Tamandua tetradactyla: one gene and its partner. The protein of the gene in region 1 purifies or fractionates together with the protein of each later gene. This does not show direct contact. Links are inferred from orthologs where the notes say so. Each region holds a gene or a part of one and is shown on either strand. Other genes may lie near its edges. The genes, in order: NUP133 and NUP37.

Region 1 (10,090 bases):
CAATTAAACAACAAGACATAACAATCATAAATATTTATGCACTGAATCAGAATGCCCCAAAATACATGAGGAATACACTGCAATTACTGAAAAGGGAAATAGACACATCTACCATAATAGCTGGAGACTTCAATTCCCCACTCTCATCAATGGACAGAACATCTAGACAGAGGATCAATAAAGAAACAGAGAATTTGAATATTACAATAAATGAGCTAGACTTAACAGACATTTATAGGACATTACACCCCACAACAGCAGGATACACCTTTTTCTCAAGTGCTCATGGATCATTCTCAAAGATAGACCATATGCTGGGTCACAAAGCAAGTCTCAACAAATTTAAAAAGATTGAAATCATACACAACACTTTCTCAGATCATAAAGGAATGAAGTTGGAAATCAATAATAGGCAGAGTGCCAGAAAATTCACAAATACGTGGAGGCTCAACAACACACTCTTAAACAACCAGTGGGTCAAGGAAGAAATTAAAAGAGAAATTAGTAAATATCTCGAGGCGAATGAAAATGAAAACACAACATCTCAAAACCTATGGGACGCAGCAAAGGCAGTGCTAAGAGGGAAATTTATTGCCCTAAATGCCTATATCAGAAAAGAAGAAAAGGCAAAAATTCGGGAATTAAGTGTCCACTTGAAAGAACTGGAGAAAGAAAAGCAAACTAACCCCAAAGCAAGCAAAAGGAAAGAAATAACAAAGATTAGAGCAGAAATAAATGAAATTGAGAACATGAAAACAATAGAGAAAATCAATAAGACCAGAAGTTGGTTCTATGAGAAAATCAATAAGATTGACGGGCCCTTAGCAAGATTGACAAAAAGAAGAAGAGAGAGGACACAAATAAATAAGATCAGAAATGGAAGAGGAGACATAACCACTGACCTCACAGAAATAAAGGAGGTAATAACAGGATACTATGAACAACTTTATGCTAATAAATACAACAATGTAGATGAAATGGACAAGTTCCTAGAAAGGCATGAACAACCAATTTTGACTCAAGAAGAAATAGATGACCTCAACAAACCAATCACAAGTAAAGAAATTGAATCAGTCATTCAAAAGCTTCCCAAAAAGAAAAGTCCAGGACCAGATGGCTTCACATGTGAATTCTACCAAACATTCCAGAAAGAATTAGTACCAACTCTGCTCAAACTCTTCAAAATAATCGAAGCGGAGGGAAAGCTACCTAATTCATTCTATGAAGCCAACATCACCCTCATACCAAAACCAGGCAAAGATATTACAAAAAAAGAAAACTACAGACCGATCTCTCTAATGAATATAGATGCAAAAATCCTCAACAAAATTCTAGCAAATCGAATCCAGCAACACATTAAAAGAATTATACATCATGACCAAGTAGGATTCATCCCAGGTATGCAAGGATGGTTCAACATAAGAAAATCAATTAATGTAATACACCATATCAACAAATCAAAGCAGAAAAATCACATGATCATCTCAATTGATGCAGAGAAGGCATTTGACAAGATTCAACATCCTTTCGTGTTGAAAACACTTCAAAGGATAGGAATACAAGGGAACTTCCTTAATATGATAGAGGGAATATATGAAAAACCCACAGCTAATATCATCCTCAATGGGGAAAAATTGAAAACTTTACCCCTAAGATCAGGAACAAGACAAGGATGTCCACTATCACCACCATTATTCAACATCGTGTTGGAGGTTCTAGCCAGAGCAATTAGACAAGAAAAAGAAATACAAGGCATCAAAATTGGAAAGGAAGAAGTAAAACTATCACTGTTTGCAGACGATATGATACTATACGTCGAAAACCCGGAAAAATCCACAACAAAACTACTAGAGCTAATAAATGAGTACAGCAAAGTAGCAGGTTACAAGATTAACATTCAAAAATCTGTAGTGTTTCTATACACTAGCAATGAACAAGCTGAGGGGGATATCAAGAAACGAATTCCATTTATAATTGCAACTAAAAGAATAAAATACTTAGGAATAAATTTAACTAAAGAGACAAAAAACCTATATAAAGAAAACTACAAAAAACTGCTAAAAGAAATCACAGAAGACCTAAATAGATGGAAGGGCATACCGTGTTCATGGATTGGAAGACTAAATATAGTTAAGATGTCAATCCTACCTAAATTGATTTACAGATTCAATGCAATACCAATCAAAATCCCAACAACTTATTTTTCAGAAATAGAAAAACCAATAGGCAAATTTATCTGGAAGGGCAGGGTGCCCCGAATTGCTAAAAGTATCTTGAGGAAAAAAACCAAGCTGGAGGTCTCACGCTGCCTGACTTTAAGGCATATTATGAAGCCACAGTGATCAAAACAGCATGGTACTGGCATAAAGATAGATATATCGACCAATGGAATCGAATAGAGTGCTCAGATATAGACCCTCTCATCTATGGACATTTGATCTTTGATAAGGCAGTCAAGCCAACTCACCTGGGACAGAACAGTCTCTTCAATAAATGGTGCCTAGAGAACTGGATACCCATATGCAAAAGAATGAAAGAGGACCCGTATCTCACACCCTATACAAAAGTTAACTCAAAATGGATCAAAGATCTAAACATTAGGTCTAAGACCATAAAACAGTTAGAGGAAAATGTAGGGAGATATCTTATGAATCTTACAATTGGAGGCGGTTTTATGGACCTTAAACCTAAAGCAAGAGCACTGAAGAAAGAAATAAATAAATGGGAGCTCCTCAAAATTAAACACTTTTGTGCATCAAAGAACTTCATCAAGAAAGTAGAAAAACAGCCTACACAATGGGAGACAATATTTGGAAACGACATATCAGATAAAGGTCTAGTATCCAGAATTTATAAAGAGACTGTTCAACACAACAACAAAAAGACGGCCAATCCAATTACAAAATGGGAAAAAGACTTGAACAGACAGCTCTCAGAAGAGGAAATACAAATGGCCAAAAGGCACATGAAGAGATGCTCAATGTCCCTGGCCATTAGAGAAATGCAAATCAAAACCACAATAAGATATCATCTCACACCCACCAGAATGGCCATTATCAACAAAACAGAAAATGACAAGTGCTGGAGAGGATGCGGAGAAAGAGGCACACTTATCCACTGTTGGTGGGAATGTCAAATGGTGCAACCACTGTGGAAGGCAGTTTGGCGGTTCCTCAAAAAGCTGAATATAGAATTGCCATACGACCCAGCAATACCATTGCTAGGTATCTACTCAGAGGACTTAAGGGCAAAGACACAAACGGACATTTGCACACCAATGTTTATAGCAGCATTATTTACAATTGCAAAGGGATGGAAACAGCCAAAATGTCCATCAACAGACGAGTGGCTAAACAAACTGTGGTATATACATACGATAGAATATTATGCAGCTTGGAAGACAGAATAAACTTATGAAGCATGTAATAACATGGATGGACCTAGAGAACATTATGCTGAATGAGACTAGCCAAAAACTAAAGGACAAATACTGTATGGTCCCACTGATGTGAACCGACATTAGAGAATAAACTTGGAATATGTCATTGGTAACAGAGACCATCAGGAGTTAGAAATAGGGTAAGATAATGGGTAACTGGAGCTGAAGGGATACAGACTGTGCAACAGGACTGGATACAAAAACTCAAAAATGGACAGCACAATACTACCTAATTGTAATGTAATTATGTTAAAACACTGAATGAAGCTGCATCTGAGCTATAGTTTTTTTTGTTCTTTTTGTTTTGTTTTGTTTTTATATATATTTTTTGTATTTTTATTTTTATTTTTTTCTCTATATTATCATTTTATTTCTTTTTCTGTTGTCTTGCTATTTCTTTTTCTAAATCGATGCAAATGTACTAAGAAATGATGATCATACATCTATGTGATGATATTAAGAATTACTGATTGTATATGTAGAATGGAATGATTTCTAAATGTTGTGTTAGTTAATTTTTTTAATTAATGAAAAAAAAATAAAATAAAAATATTATGAATCTATATACAGACAGAAACCAAGGGGGCAAAGAAGAAAGGGATATCTAACTCTGTGGAAGTCTTTCCGGCGGCAGTAGCACTGAATGAAGACTTGATGTGTGGTTAGAGGCTTACCTAGCCAACAGGGGTAAGGAGAGAGGGAAGGCATGCCAAGTGAAAGGAATATGTGCAAATACATTGGAGGGGTGAGATGGAAACTCTTACGTATTTTTTTTTCCGGAAGGAATATGCACTGCAAGTGGAAAGGGAATGAAGTGGAGTCAGACGTACGAGCCAGCAAGAGTTAAATCACAAAGGACCTTGTAAAGGAGCTTGCCAAATTACCTGTGGGCAACAAATGGTCAGCTACTGAAGCAGTTTCATGCCCAAGAACAACATCCAATATACCTTATGTTGGGACCTATATCACATACCCTATAAAAGGCATATTCAAGTCTTAGTCTGTGCCCCCATGGGTGTGAACTCATTTGTAAATAGGACTTTTGAAGATATTATTAATTAAAGTCTGTACACATTTGTGAATAGGATCTTCGAAGATCCCTATTTAGATGAAGAAAAATTGAATCAGGGTGAGACTTACCCTGATGAGTCCATATAAGCAAAGGAAACTTGTATACAGTGGGTAGAGGAATCCAGAAGTCAGAAGATAGAAAACGAAGGAGATTGCCATTTGACAAAGGCAGATATGAAATTCAAGGAACCCCAAGGATTGCCACAAGCAGCACCGGAATACCACAAACAGTATCTGGGAGGAAGCATGGCCTATGGAGATCTCGATTTTGTATTTTTAGCATTAAAAACCATGAGACAATAAATACTCTGTTTAAGTTAACCCATTGTGTGGTATTTGTCATAGCAGTGCTAGCAAAGGAAGACACCTTAGTCCACTAATTTAGCAATGTGGAGGATGGAGTGGAGTAAGAGCAGGCAGAGGCAAAGAAACTCAAAAAGAGATTATTGCTATGGTCTAGGGAAAAGGTGAGTGCGTGAACAGGGCAGAGGTAGTGCAGCTGTGTGAGATGTGCTAGATGTACTCCAGAGCTACAAAGGACCAGGATGTTGTCGTGAAGATAAGTTTGAGGATGACTTTAGGATATAGCCCTTATTTTTACCTTGGACAACTGACCAGTTTACTAAGCTGGAAAATACATGATAGGAGGATGAGAGTCCTAAAAGAAAGCATGAATTCAGTTTTAACAAGTGAATAGTAAGGAGTCTGCAGGATATCCAGGTGAAAATGTCCACTATGAAGTTGACAGATGTCTTTGTTTTTTTTTTTAAATCAGGATCTGCCTTAGAAATATGTATTCGTGGCGTGAATAGTGTGGATGAGACAGTCCAAACAGAAAGAGAAATGACAAAATGGGAAAAGAACAAATAAAATATTGTGTGAAACCTGCGTTAGGTTTACCATCGCCCCTTTCCATTTCTCTGGCTCAGGAAAGATCAGAGGGAGAAGTGGCTTCGCGTCAAGCGGCTAGAGCGTCAACACCGCCTATGTGAGTCGGGAAGGCCCCCTGGTTTTCCAGCTTCATTTCCCTGGAAAGTCAAGACTACTGCTTGGACCAGAAGCTCCGGAGGCGCCAACCCCGCCCATTCTCCTCCAGCGGCTGCAGCTCCGCCCACGCCCCGCGGGTTGTGCGCTGGGCCTGACGTCATCACCGTGCGCTCTCGACCTTCAAGCTCCGCGCGCGCGCCGCGAGCCTGCGCCGCGAGTCTGCCCCTCGGCCGGGAAACCGCGCGCTCCGCCGTCACTCCCTCGCATCATGTTCCCGGGCGTCCCCTCCCCGCGGACCCCTGGTCCAGGGTCCCGAAGGGGCCCGCTCGGCGGAGTCGGGCCGGCCTCCACGCCCCGGGTGCTCAGCAGGAAGGGCCTGACCCTGGGGTCTGGAATGAGCTCTCCTGTGCTCTTCTCACCGGTCGGCCGGCGAAGCTCGCTGAGCTCACGGTAAGTGATTCCTCCCTCGTTGGGTCCGACGAGAGGCAGACTCAGAGGCTTCGGTAGGCCTAGTGGGGGAGTCTCCCGAAGCCTCTGGAAACGTTGGGAGGGAGGTGGGGGCGGGGGTGCCAAATTTTGGGGAAAATAAATATCCGCTACCCTTGCGGGTTATTCCAGCTTCACCTCGATTGACTCGTCATTTGAATCCTCGCTTTGCGCTTTTCGTGGGATTATCTTTGTGCGGAAAGAATCAACAAGCTGGATTTGAATCGGTGCCACTTCCCCTCTTCTTACCAACCCTGTAATGTAGAATAAGTCACTCGTGATTCTCCTCAACTGAAATGGCGCTAATACCTGACCTACAGTCAGTCTCCCTCACTAAGGCCAGAGGACTCGATAAGAAACGCCTGGATGCAGTTGTTAAGTGATGGTGGTAGTAAGGACCTCCTACCCTAGAACGTCATTATGTAATGCCGAACATACTAAGGCATTAGTATCTGCTGATTGGTAATTAAAGGACGTTTAGCTACAAAAGTTCCCTTTGTAGTTAAATTAACAGAGAAAAGACCTTCTACGGTGGGATAAGAATGGTAGTTTTGTAACCAATAAGAAGTGCGAAGCAGCAGTCCATATCACTGGTAAAAGTATGCCTCAACCCACCCATGTTCACAATACTCAGAACTTTAGAAGGTAGGTAACATCTGTTTCTGAGTAGTTTCCTCTGATCCACCCATCAAAAATGAGTTTTCCCTTGCGAGAAATAACGGTATTACTGTGCCTTAAACTTACAGTTATAATGTATTTATACAGTTTTGCAGTATTTTAAAGGAGAAATGAATTTGAAAGAATGCACTGTATCCTTGGCTTTTGCATTTTGAAGAGTGCTCTTAAAAGTGCTGATGCTCTTGTCAGTGTTTTATGTTCCTTTTGAGAGAAGTAAAAGAATAAAAGCCATAGTTTTCTTTTTCAATTCCTTACTATGGTTTTAAAATTTCTTACCTTCTGGTGGCCATTCAAAGAAAAACCTTGTTACAATACTTCTGTTAGGAAATACAGCTCTATATGTGTAACTCCTCGTTAAGTCCTCTTGATAAATTTGAGGGTAACTTTTATATGGTGGCTTTACATTATTATTCTGAATGTGAAGAAGAAAATGAGAAAGGAATGTAATGTCTACTTCTATACCTATTATTAAAGGCTAGGTTAGAGCAGATGGTCATGACTCTGTTTTCTTGTTTGGTTGCACAGAGCTGGTAGATTTCTTAGATTTCAAGAGCTGAACAAGAGCTTAAGTATGACCGACCCCTATGTTTGTAAATGTTTTCAACCATAACATGTGATTAAACTCTGAAATTTTATATGCTAGTTTTTCAAAAATGTTAAGACCCTCAAAATGACTTGCAGTTTGAGAAACACTTATCTAGCCCAATCTTGTTATTTTCTAGATAAGGAATCAGTTATAAAAAGAGGCATGCATTTACTAGAGTATGAGTCTAAAGCCAATTTTCCCCAAATCCCTCCATTTTCAATGAATGATATATTTAATCACACAAGTATACGTAGGTCAGTGTTCTTTCCACTGTCACCTCTCTTCTTGTGTAATAAAGATCTTTTTATTATGAAATTATATATACGAGGTATGATAATGAAAAATTTAAATTATGAGTGCTGTTACAATGTCTCTTTTCTTTAGAGGAACACCTACACGAATGTTCTTACACCACTCTGTAACTGAGACTATGAACTATGATGTGAAAACTTTTGGCTCTTCTCTCCCTGTGAAAGTTATGGAAGCCCTAACATTGGCTGAAGGTTGGTATCATCTTCCCATTTGCCTCAGTTAGCAATTCAAAATGGAATTTAGCCTTTAGGAAAATGCAGATCAAACCCATCCTAAAATAACACTTCATACTCTCTAGAAAGGCATTTATTAAGAAATGGAAAGTAGCATGTGAGGACTGTGAGAAATAGAAACTCTCCTACATTGTCGGTGGGAATATAAAATCAAGCAGCCTGTGGTAAACAGCTTGGCAGTGTCTCAAAAAGTTAAACATCCACTTCTAGGTATATGCCCCAAAAGAACTGAAAGCAGCACCTCAGATATTGGTACGCCAATGGAGATGGTGGCATTATTCACAATAACAAAAGGTATAAGGAACCCAAGTGCCCATCTACAGATGACTGGATAAACAAATGTGCTATATACATTCCTGTAAAAAGTGAAGTTTTGATATGTAGATGAACATGGGTGAATGTTAAAGACATGAAGGACAGATATATGATTTCATTTAAATGAAATAACTAGAATATGCAAATCCATTCATAGAGAAAGAACATCTGTATAGGTAGGGGGCATGTAATCAAGTTATTGCTTATTGGGTGCAAAGTTTCTGTTTGGGGTGATGGAAAAGTTTTGGTAGTGGATAATGGTAATGGTAGCACAACATTGTGAATGTAATTTAAGCCACTGAATTGTTAGATTTGCAAGTGGTTAAAATGGCAAATTTTATATTGTATATATCTTACCACAGTTTTTTTTGTTTTGTTTTAATTTTTTAAGATGGTTTTTTAAAAAATGATGCCTAGGGTTGGCATGTGGATTGAAATTTTTGCTTTCTCTAGTATACCTGAGAGATATACCTAAATGGGGAGATATAGTCAGCTTATTTGACTTTTCAGTATAATTGAGAAGTATCATAAATTTGAGAAGCTGGATGAGTTCATTCTAACACAATCAGATTAAGTCTTTATTAGTTTCAAGTGCTGCATATAGCAAAATTTAGCCCAATTTTAAAAGTTGGTAGATGTATTAGCTAGGGTTCTCTAGAGAAACAGAATCAGCAAGAGATATCCATAGATGTAAAATTTGTAAAAGCATCTCACATACCATGGGAATGTAGAATCCAAGGTCTGTAGGGCTGGCCGCAAGCTGGCAACTCTGACGAAGGTCCGCAGTGAACTCTCAGGAGAGGCTGACTGGGCAACTATGGGAATGAAAGGGTCAGACATCTGTAGGGCAGGCAGCAAGCTGGCAACTCCAGTGAAGGTCCTCACCGAACTCTCAGGAGAGGCTGGCTGGCTGAAGCAGGAAGATTGACTGTCTCTTCTGAATCCTCCTGAAAAGCCTTCTGGTTATTAGATTAGGCATCACTCATTGCCGAAGACGCTCCCTTTAGCAGATTACAAATGCAGTCAGCTGTGGATGCAGCCAACGTGATCACAGTTGAAGACCATGAAATGTCCTCATAGCAATAGACAGGCCAGTGCTTGCCCCACAAGACAACTGGGCACCACCACCTGGCCAAGTTGACACATGAACCTGACCATGACAGTGGGGTATATGAAATTTAAAAACAAACTGGGGGTGGACACTGGTGGCTCAGTAGCAGAATTCTCGCCTGCCATGCCAAAGACCTGGGTTCGATTCGCAGAGCCTGCCCATGTCAGAAACAAAGAAACAGACTGATGCTTCAAGTTTTTTGTTTTATTAATAGAGTAAAATTAAATTCTACCTCCATTTCTGGATCATATATAGGCCTGAGAGACTGTATGCACAGTTTCATGATGATACCTGTGTAGTGTATGTTTAGAAGATTCTGCTAACAGAATTAAAGTGGAAGTTTAGAAAATCCAGTCAATGCAGATTTCAGAGAGGCAATATTAATGAGGGATTGGGTGACAGGGGAAGTGCAAAGTTCAGAGAATCCTCAGTGATCTGCCTTAGTCATTCTTATTAAGGAGTCAATTCTAGATCTTTGAGATTTTCTGGAGTACTGTATGAAATTGCAGCTTTTGACCAAAATCACTTTAGTGGTTCATGACTAGCATTAAGAAAAAAAAAAATTAAATAGAATAGAATGGAAAACATCAGATTGTATCTTATTGAGTAAGGTTAAATAACTTTTATTTTAGTTTTATTTAAATTGTGTCTGAATGCATCATGATGTAAAATATATTTTATTTTAACTTATTAATTGTGTAATATAATGTGTACACAGCAAAGAAAAAAAAGCAATGTTTTCAAAGCACTCTTCAACAAGTAGTTACAGGAAAGATACCAGAGTTTGTCATAGGCTAGCATACCATCATCTCACATTTTTCCTTCTAGCTACTGTAGAACAGTGGAGGCTAGAAGAAATAAATATTTTTTCT
Region 2 (9,512 bases), on another chromosome or scaffold:
GCTCTCCCACCACACCCACTTATGGCCAAAAACAGAATTTCAGAGTTAGACAAGTCTGTTAAGTCAATTTAGTTCAACTCTTTTCACCTAATGCTTGAGTCTCTGGTAGAAAATCTGAACAAAAGTTGAATAAACCCTCTCCAAACACCTAAAACGAGAAGGAAGCAGCTATTTCTTGGAGGTGCTTATTCAATTTGGAGACATTAGAAAATTACTCCTAACATTAAGCCAAAAATCTGTTTCCAAGTATATTCTACTCACTGGTCCTGGTGAATGACAACTACCTTTCTGATAGGAATGTGAAAATCTTTCCATTTGAGTTACCTTTACTTAGGTCTCCCAAGACAAGTGGCATGAATATGGGTGCTATGTAACTTGAAGGTTCAAAGATGAGAGACTAGGAAAAATGTGTAACGGTGTTTAGGCAAAAAAACAAAATAAAACATTAAAGGAAAGCAATACTTATTCCTAAATCTCCAAGGGAAAACTATTGGAACGAATTCTCTTTTAGAACAGTTTGAACGATGGCTTCTCTTAATATTAGCACAGAAGAAAAATGACAAATTTTTAAGGATGGATCTAGATCTTATATTTTCATTTACTAGTAATGCAAATCCCTGAACTTCCTTGAAGTAAGATGGAGGGAAACTCCATGAGAGCAGAGACAGTCTTGTTTAACCACGTTCATGAGTGCCTGACACAGAATATAATTTGTGCTCACTACTTGCCAAATTAATAAAATCCCAGTTTTCTTCCTTAGGGAATTTGGGGATAAGACCTTCCTTGCCAGTCTCACAGTCAGAGGATCAATACAATGTATATGACCATAAACCATAATGGATACATACAAACGTTAAGGTGTTTTATTTGTTTCTTCTGCCTCCCATTTTCTCTCTCATCTATCATCTCTGCTTTTCCTAAATTCTCTCTCCCTTTTTTGACTTTCTCCCCCAACATTTCTCAATTACTCATAAACTAGAGAAAAGCATACTTTTCAGTATTTCTAAATATAATTCTTTGTTCATAGCTGTTAACTTTAAAAGTGATGAAATAAAGTTTAACCTGTAGGTGGCTACTTTATTCTTTTGTAGGTTAGAGGCTTGCATTAGATAACTGGTTTCCCCTGGGCCTTTTTCTGGTTTTGGCATGGACAGGCTCTGGGAATTGAATCCGGGTCTCCAGCATGGCAGGCAAGAATTCTGCCAATGAGCCAACACTGCCTGCGGACCCTGGGCCTTTTTTAAGAGTACATTATAGCAATCACCTTACTCAACATTATATGATTCCTAATCTAGTATCCAGCTGAAGTCTGGCTGAGGATTGTATTCCATTTAAAATCTGGAAGTTCCTCTCCCAACCCCAAACAAATAATATGGGATAATGTAAGAGCTTTCATATTATACTCAGACACCAACAAACTGAAATCTTTAATTTATACTTTATATTTTCCCCTTAGGATAAATACGAATCCAGTCCAATTTTGTAGAGCTTTACACATTTACTGTATAATAGTGTAAAAAGATACACTGCATTTTTTATTTCACAACACTATACGATACTGAATTTGCTGCTGAGTAGAAGAGGAAATAATGTTTATAATGGCTTTAGTGATAAAGTTACTTTAAATCTTTGAAAATTGGTGCCTGTTAAATTAACGTCATTGATTAATCAGAATTTGAGAAATAATGGTTTTCTGAATAATATTTTTGCTAGCAAAGGATTAACCAGAAATTCTGAGTGTTGAACTCTCATTGATCAAAGTCTCTCTCACATGTAGCACATTTTTGTGAGAAAAATACAGGGCTGCACCTAAGTGTCATCACTGCCCCAAATCAATGACAATTAGACTCTGTGTGTTGCTTACAATTGGCCAGATGCCAATCTAGGAATGTCACATGTAGTGACTCATGAAATCCTCCCAAAACTCAATTAAGTATTATTTAACCCATTCTTAGAAATGAGAAGTTAAGTACCTTGTCAAGATCACACAGAGGTTAAGTGGGTAGGAGTGAAAAGTTAGGTATTCCAGCTCTAGGGAGCATGCTCTTAATGACTATACTGAATTGTATGCTCAAGTAACAAGATCTCATACTTTGTATACTCTAGATGCACGCTTTAAATGTATAAAAAGTAGGAGAGCATAGTAATAGAAAAGTTGAATCTCATGAAAGCCATAAAATCTCCCAGAGAATCAGTTTTTAGGCTTTTAATATTAGCCTAAAATGTTTCATGACAAAGTGGAAGGTAGTAAAAATTGTAATTAATTGTATCCCATTTAATTTTTTTTTAAACATACCAATGTTCAACTTCGCAAAACCTTCAATTATCATAATGTGCTATAACTAATAATGAGGCAAAAGAGGAGCCTCACCCTCTTCTTTTTCTATTTGGTCAATGTTGATACAACCTCAGACATATATTACTGGGAAAGTTTTTTTCTGTGGTTCTGCATATCTTTCTTTTTTTAAATGTTCAAATGCAATACTCAATATACTTTCAAAATTTACCTTTGGTTTTTTAAGTTTATAAGTGAAGTATCTTCACTGTCATTTATTGCAGCTTTGCAACTAACCTGAAATGTACACGTGCCAATTACCACGTAATTATTGCCACCATATGCAATTAGGTTTCCTGAATCTCCACTCTCAAAGGGATTAAATTCTACCACATGCACATAATCTTCACAATCCACAGTGTAGGCAGCATTTGTGGTGGCATCTTGCTTCATCATGTATGCCAAAACTCAAGCAGTTGTGAAAAAAAAAAACAGCCTTCTATGGGACAAGGTCACCAACCTGTGAATTACAGCAGAAATAGATTCAATTAGAAATAGTTAAATATGTCTTTCAGTAAATGAATCAGAATAAGGATGTAGTATTGCAAGGATGTGGTATTGCAATGCGGTACAAAGCTCAAAAGGAATGAAACATTTGAAGTACTTATCAAGGGACCAAAGCAGCAGAAAAAAATTAGATAAAATAGTTAATGGTAGAACACTTGCTCCGTAGCTTTTCTCCTTTCCATATTTGTGAATACTTGCAGAGGAAATCACCATAAAATTCTGTATGACTAAGCCGTATGTTGAGTACTTGCAAAAACAATCAGATTGATATTAAATAAATTTATAAAAAAAGAATAGCTGAGCACTATTTGTTGCCACCACGTTAAAGCACGTTACTGCCATTACCACTTTTAATATTTGCACAAACCGAAGAGGGAAATACTATGTGTGGTCTCCACGTCACAGATGAAGAAACTGAGGCTTTAGGAGGTTCAACAACTTTCCAAGCTTATAAGCAAGCAGAGCCAGAAAGACTTCACTATATTTTGGACACTAGGGCAAGTGAAGAAAAACAGCCTCAGCCTTGAAGGCGGTCACCATTCAGGGATAGTTATGATTCTGCATGAAAAGCGCTCTAACACAAGGAGATACAAAGCATCCTCGGATCCCGAAGGGTGCCAAAACTTGATACACTGGTATAAAGCCAAGTACAAAATCTCAACAAAGCTGTTCGGGCCTAACGTGTATTCTGGCCACAGAGTAGTATTCCCTAATGAGAACTACGGGTTTTAGGTTTTTTTGTTTGTTTTTAATTGGATATAAGAGTTTTATGCTCCTGAAAACAGCCGGACCCAGAAATGAACGCATCCAAGGCCTGATGAGTATTGACCGAGAAGCAGCTGGCAAACTCACGAGTGGACACCCGGGGCTGGCATGGTTAAGAGTGACCAGCAGGGGAGACGCCCACAGAAACAGCGGTGCAAAAGATTCGAGGTCAGGAAAGTCGTTCCGATCCCGGCCCCGTGGCCCTACAGCAGCGCCCGCGGGGCTGGGCCCTCCCCTCCACACCTGGAGCAGCCGGGAAGAAGGCCCTGCACAGAGCCTCGATGCCGCTCTCCCACCCAGGCCAGTCCCGCGGCACCCGATCCCGCCTTCCCTGCCCGCGGTCGCGGAGGACAGAGATGGGACGCCCAGGACAGAGGAGACACCTCCCGTCCCAAAGCCGGCTGCCTCGGCGCTGCCGCGTGATACCAACCCGACGGGCGAAGCGCGGCCGCAGCGAACAGGCCTCCGCGGGGGCGGGGCGGCCGCCGCGCGCCGGCTCTGCTTCCGGTTCGGAGGGCGAGCGCCGCGATTGGCTGCCGCGCCCTCCCGCGAGATTCGAAATGTAATCCCGGCGTGGCCGGGGGCCGGCGCGCAGGCGCGGCCTCGCCTCGGGAGCCCGCGCGGGTGAGTCTCCCCGCTTCCCTGCCAGCGTTGGTGGGCCGGGCCGGAACCTTGTGGGGTCTTTCGGTGACACCAGAGCACCGCCTCACCGTGTGCGGTGCTAAGTGCGGGCCTCGGCGCTGCCGCCTGGCTGGCTCTGAGGACTGCGGACGGACGTCGGGTGTCCCCGAGGGAACTGGAAGGGGCGGGATGGAGGCCCAGAAGGACCTGCTAGGCCCTAGTTAGAGGAAACGAGGCGTGCGGGCTCCCACTCCGGTTTTGCTACCCCATACACATCGCCCCAGACAGCATGGAACACCTGACTGCTGACAACGCTTCCCTGTATCTTATCGAGGACCTGTTTAGTGTAGCATTCATTGGGTCATGTACTTGTCTCATCAAAGTCTCACGACCTTACTACGACCCAGGAACTGTCTCCCCGATCACAGATTAAGACATTGAGGCTCATCAGAGGTCTTGCATAGTGTAGGACGTACAGCTAATAGATGGAGTTGCTGGGGTGGACCTGGTTATCCGACTCGAACGTGTACTTGTTTCAGACGTCGCGCACTACCGCCCAGTGACATTCACCTGCCCCACAGTTTTTCCTCCAGCGCAGCTTTAATCCAGTTTTTTAAAGCAAGTATTTATTATTGCCACCAATTTCTTCTACTGTTTTTGTGTAGGGCAGCCTGTCATTCAGAGTGTTTGCATATTCCGTGCCTCATTGACTCTTCTCAAGTGCGAGGAAGGTGAGTAAGTGAGGAGAGTATTGTGCCTCTTCTCTAGGTGATATCTCCGCTGTGCAGCCAGGTGTAAATCTGTCACCCAAGCTCACAAGAGATGGGCAGATGGGCTGAACTGCCTGTTTTTGTGCAGCTACCACTTGAGTAAACAATAGATTTTATGTATTTAAATGGCTGGGAAGAAACTAAAAGAATAATTTTTTTGACACATGAAAATGATATGAAATTCAAAGGACACTGTCTGTAAATCAGTATTGTTGGAGCACAGCCATGCTTATTCATTTATGAATTGTCCATGGCTCTTTTCACACTGCAAGGACAAGTTGAGTAGTTGTGACAAAGATCACATGACCTGCAAACCTCACATTTTTGCTCTTGGCCCTTTCCAAATAACTCCTGACTCCTGGACAATACTGTTTTTTTTTTTTTTTTTTTTGTCTCCAATAATAATGTCCATTCAATTTTAACTCAAAGCAACTTAGAAACTCATAATGTAATACTTCACTTTTAATGTGCTCTTATTTGTGCCAGGCACTGTTCTTTTAAAGCTTTACTTGTTTATATGTCATTTACTCTTTACAAAACTCTATGAGGTACGAACTATTATTTTCATTTTCAGTAGGAGGAAATTGAAGCAGGGAGAGGTGACCTAACTTGACCAAATTTCACAGCAAGTAAGTTCTGGAACCAGGTTCCAGAAGAGTCTGGTTCCACAAGAATCTTCATTCTTAGCAATTGGGACTCATAATATCTCTAAAGCCAGTAACTAATTTGCTGCTGAAGTTTTATTTTAGGCAAAATGATCATATCATTGAAGCTGAAGTTTTACATCACTCATTTTTTTAAATTTATTAATTAAAAACAAAACAACATACATAATCAGTAATTCACAATATCATCACTTAGTTGCATATTCATCATTTCTTAGAACATTTGCATCGATTTAGAAAAAGAAATAAAAAGATAACAGAAAAAGAAATAAAATGATAACAGAAAAAAAAGTTATACATACCATACCCCTTACCCCTTGCTGTCATTGATCACTAGCATTTAAACTAAATTTATTTTAGCATTTATTCCCCCTATTATTTATTTTTATTCCATATGTTCTCCTTTGTTGACAAGGTAGATAAAAGGAGCATCAGACACAATCGCACAGTCACATTGTGACAGCTGTATCATTATTTAATCATCCTCAAGAAACATGGCTACTGGAACACAGCTCTACATTTTCAGGCAGTTCCCTCCAGCCTCTCCATTACATCTTGAATAACAAGATGATATCTACTTGATGCATAAGAGTAACCCTCCAGGATAATCTCTCCACTCTGTTTGGAATCTCTTAGCCGTTGACACTTTGTCTCATTTCATTCTTCCCCCTTTTGGTCGAGAAGGTTTTCTCAATCGCTTGATGCTGTCTCAGCTCATTCTAGGGTTTTTCTCAATCCCTTGATGCTGAGTCTCCGTTCATTCCAAGATCTCTGCCCCACGTTGCCAGGAAGGTCCACACCCCTGGGAATCATGTCCCACTTAGAGAGTGGTAGGGTGGTGAGACTGCTCATTGGGTTGGCTGGAGAGAGGGGCCTACATCACTCATTTTTTTTAAGAGCTGAGAGTGATATTTTGAAGGGAAATATAACTCCTACCTATTTATGAGGGATTGTATTTATGTGGCTATTTTAACATAAAGTCTTTTACCTGTATTTTAAATTGTGTTACTGGTTATATCTATAATTTAAACTATCATTTTGTAAATGGTATATGCTCTTTTTCTTGATCATGCAAACCTAGGGTGCCTGGGATTTAGAAGTCAGTAAATTGATGAGAACAGTACCATACCCAAAAGAGATGATGGACATGTGAATATATTTTAAACTGGTAAAGAAAGAAGGAAAAACTCTGTTAGCACATGTCTGTTAATCAAAGAAAGGAATTAGCTGTTTCATAGGCTTGGGTATGAAAGAAATTAGCTGTCCAATAGGCTTGGGTATATAAAACATTAGAAATGCATCTAATTATTTTGAAAGGCTTTTGTCTGTATCAGAGGTTTTTATGCAATATAATGATTTAAGAACACAGTTTATGGGATTAGGCATCTTGGGTTTAGGTCTGGTTCAGTTATTTTCTAGCCAGGTGACATGAGGCATCAATTTTGTCAGATGTAATATGAAGATAATAGTACCTGCCTAATGTACTCACCTCTTGTGAGAATTGCATGAGGTAATATATTAAACTTTTGAAAAATTCCTGGCATCAAGTAACAGCTCCTAAATATTAGCCATTGTGTTGTGATCTGTTGCTGGTGTAAAAAGCTGCCCCAAAACTTAGCAGCTCGTGTGCTTGTGATTCTGTGGATCGGTACTTTAGATGGGGCTCAGCTAGGTCGTTCTTCTCCTGGTCCTGCCTGGAATTGCTCATGTGGCGAGTTCGTCTGGCAGGTTGACTGGAGCTGGATAATCACGTCACTGTGTGTTTGTGAGTTAATGTTGGTTGTCGGCTGGAGTTCCATGTTACTTCTCCATCAGGCTGTGTTTCACTTGCTTTATCATTATAAATTTGTGTACTTTTTTGGATGACTTTTCAGGCAGGATTGGATATTATTATTTCAGATGATTTGGCTTAAGAAAATTAAATGAGAGGAAAATGTGATTGGGCAGGAATTATATTACTCTGTTTTCTTAAATTTAAAAGCCATTTTGGTAGATATGAGATGATCTCTCATTCACTGCTTTTTTTACTCTGCTTGTTTGCACATGTTAGATATTAATTTCCAATTAAAATAAGACACTTCAACATTGTATTCTGTTCTACTTTAAGAGGATGGCTGTGCATTATCAGAAGTCTATCTTGAACATGATTAAAGCGTTTAGAAGGAACTGGCACACCCTTTGTACCTCTGAGAGAACTACTGTATGTGGTGCAGACTCCATGCTCCTGATATTGCAGCTTTCCATGGCAGAGAACAACAAACAGGTTAGTAAGTTGTGTGTAGGTTTCTTTGTTTCTTTATTTATTATTTGTATTTTTTGAGGGGCTGCATAGTCCGGGAATTGAACCCTGGTCTCCTGCATGAAAGATGAGCATTCTAGCGCTGAACCACTAGGTTCATTTATTTTTTTATTAAGTTTCGGCTACTGCATATTTTAATAATCTTAATTACATTAATTTCTTTGTTATATTATGATAATATTGATATACTATTTTCACAAATCCCTCTGCATATATATGTGTGCCACAAAATATTAAGATTTTATTTGAAATGATTTGTTTAAAAATTAAGGCTTTCATAAGTACAGTTTAACATGGAGCATGTACATTTGACATAATAAATGTCTTAAGATAGATGTGCAACTATTATGGTTAAAAATTATTACTTCCCTTCTCCTCTAAAAGCAATTCTAGAAAGCACACATTACAAATGTTTATTTAAATTAACCACAAAGTATCTTAGGACTTGTTTCACACTCTGTGGTATAGATTAGTTGTTCCCAAGCCAGGTTGTTAATAAGAATCACTTGAGGCACTTTAAAAAAATACTAGCTTCTGGGCTCCATTCTTTAGAATTCTCATTCTTCTGCTCTGCACTGAAGCTTTGGAAACTGTCTTTTTTTTTTTCTTGCATGGGCAGACTCTGGGAAACAAATAACTGTCTTTTTTTTTAGTCTCTCCAAAATGGTCCTTATGTAGCTCCAGAGGTAGAGGTGTTCAGAAGAGAGAAGAATGAATATAGGTTGGAGTGATAATGAAAGGCGTTTTTGCATTTATTCCTGGAGAAAGAAAAGTCAGTTCAGAAAACATTCCAGGGGGATCAAAATTATGATGATTTAAAGATGGTAAAGAGAACAGCTTGACTAAGGAAGAGAATTTATAAAGGGTTTCAATGATTTTGGGGGGCTAGATTTTAAAATGACATTTTGATGAGTTATTTTAATCCCGTATGTAAGTGGTTATTAAACTTTGAGATTTTGTAGACTAGTAAAATTTCCAAAAAACACTAGACATTGATGGTTGACTGTTTCTCATTTTGACAAATGAGGCTTGTTCTAGTTTGCTAGCTATTGGAATGTGATACACCAGAAATGGAATGGCTTTTAAAAGGTAGAGTTTATTTAAAGTGGCACATTTATAATTCTCTGGCCATGAAAATGTCCCAATTAAAGCAAGTCTATAAAAATGTCCAAATTAAGGTTACCTTCACTAAGAAAGACCAATGAAGTTCAGGGTTTCTCTCTCTCTAGTGGAAAGGCACACAGCGAACATGGCGACGATGGTGATGTCTGCTAGCTTTCTCTCCAGACTTATTGTTTCATGAAGCTCCCCTAGGGGCGTACTCCTTCTTTATCTGCAAAGGTCTCTGGCTGCATGGGCTTGGTGGTTCTCGTGGCTCACTCTGGTCGTTCTTGGCTTTGTCGCTCTCTCCAAAATGCTTCCTCTTTTAAAGGATTCCAGTAAACTAATCAAAACCCACCTAAAATGCGTGGAGCCTCATCTCCATCTGATCAAGATTAATACACATATCCATGAAGATAATCTAATCAAAAGATTCCAACCTACATTAT

Evidence for each region.
Region 2: the proteins of NUP133 (region 1) and NUP37 purify together in Homo sapiens (affinity purification with mass spectrometry; 4 studies listed by BioGRID and IntAct, with this or other methods). This does not show direct contact. The link is inferred for Tamandua tetradactyla from reciprocal best matches to the Homo sapiens genes NUP133 and NUP37.

The regions. Positions count from the first base shown.
Region 1 is NC_135328.1:153,879,467-153,889,556, reverse strand, and holds the start of NUP133 (nuclear pore complex protein Nup133), read left to right. Parts: upstream 1-5,699; 5' UTR 5,700-5,765; coding exon 5,766-5,947; intron 5,948-7,631; coding exon 7,632-7,750; intron 7,751-10,090. UniProt on the Homo sapiens protein: Involved in poly(A)+ RNA transport. Involved in nephrogenesis.
Region 2 is NC_135333.1:172,273,958-172,283,469, forward strand, and holds the start of NUP37 (nucleoporin Nup37), read right to left. Parts: upstream 4,127-9,512; 5' UTR 4,038-4,126; intron 4,032-4,037; exon of another isoform or gene 3,851-4,031; intron 2,796-3,850; 5' UTR 2,732-2,795; coding exon 2,573-2,731; intron 1-2,572. Other genes in the region: PARPBP (PCNA-interacting partner), read left to right, coding at 7,774-7,926. UniProt on the Homo sapiens protein: Component of the Nup107-160 subcomplex of the nuclear pore complex (NPC). The Nup107-160 subcomplex is required for the assembly of a functional NPC.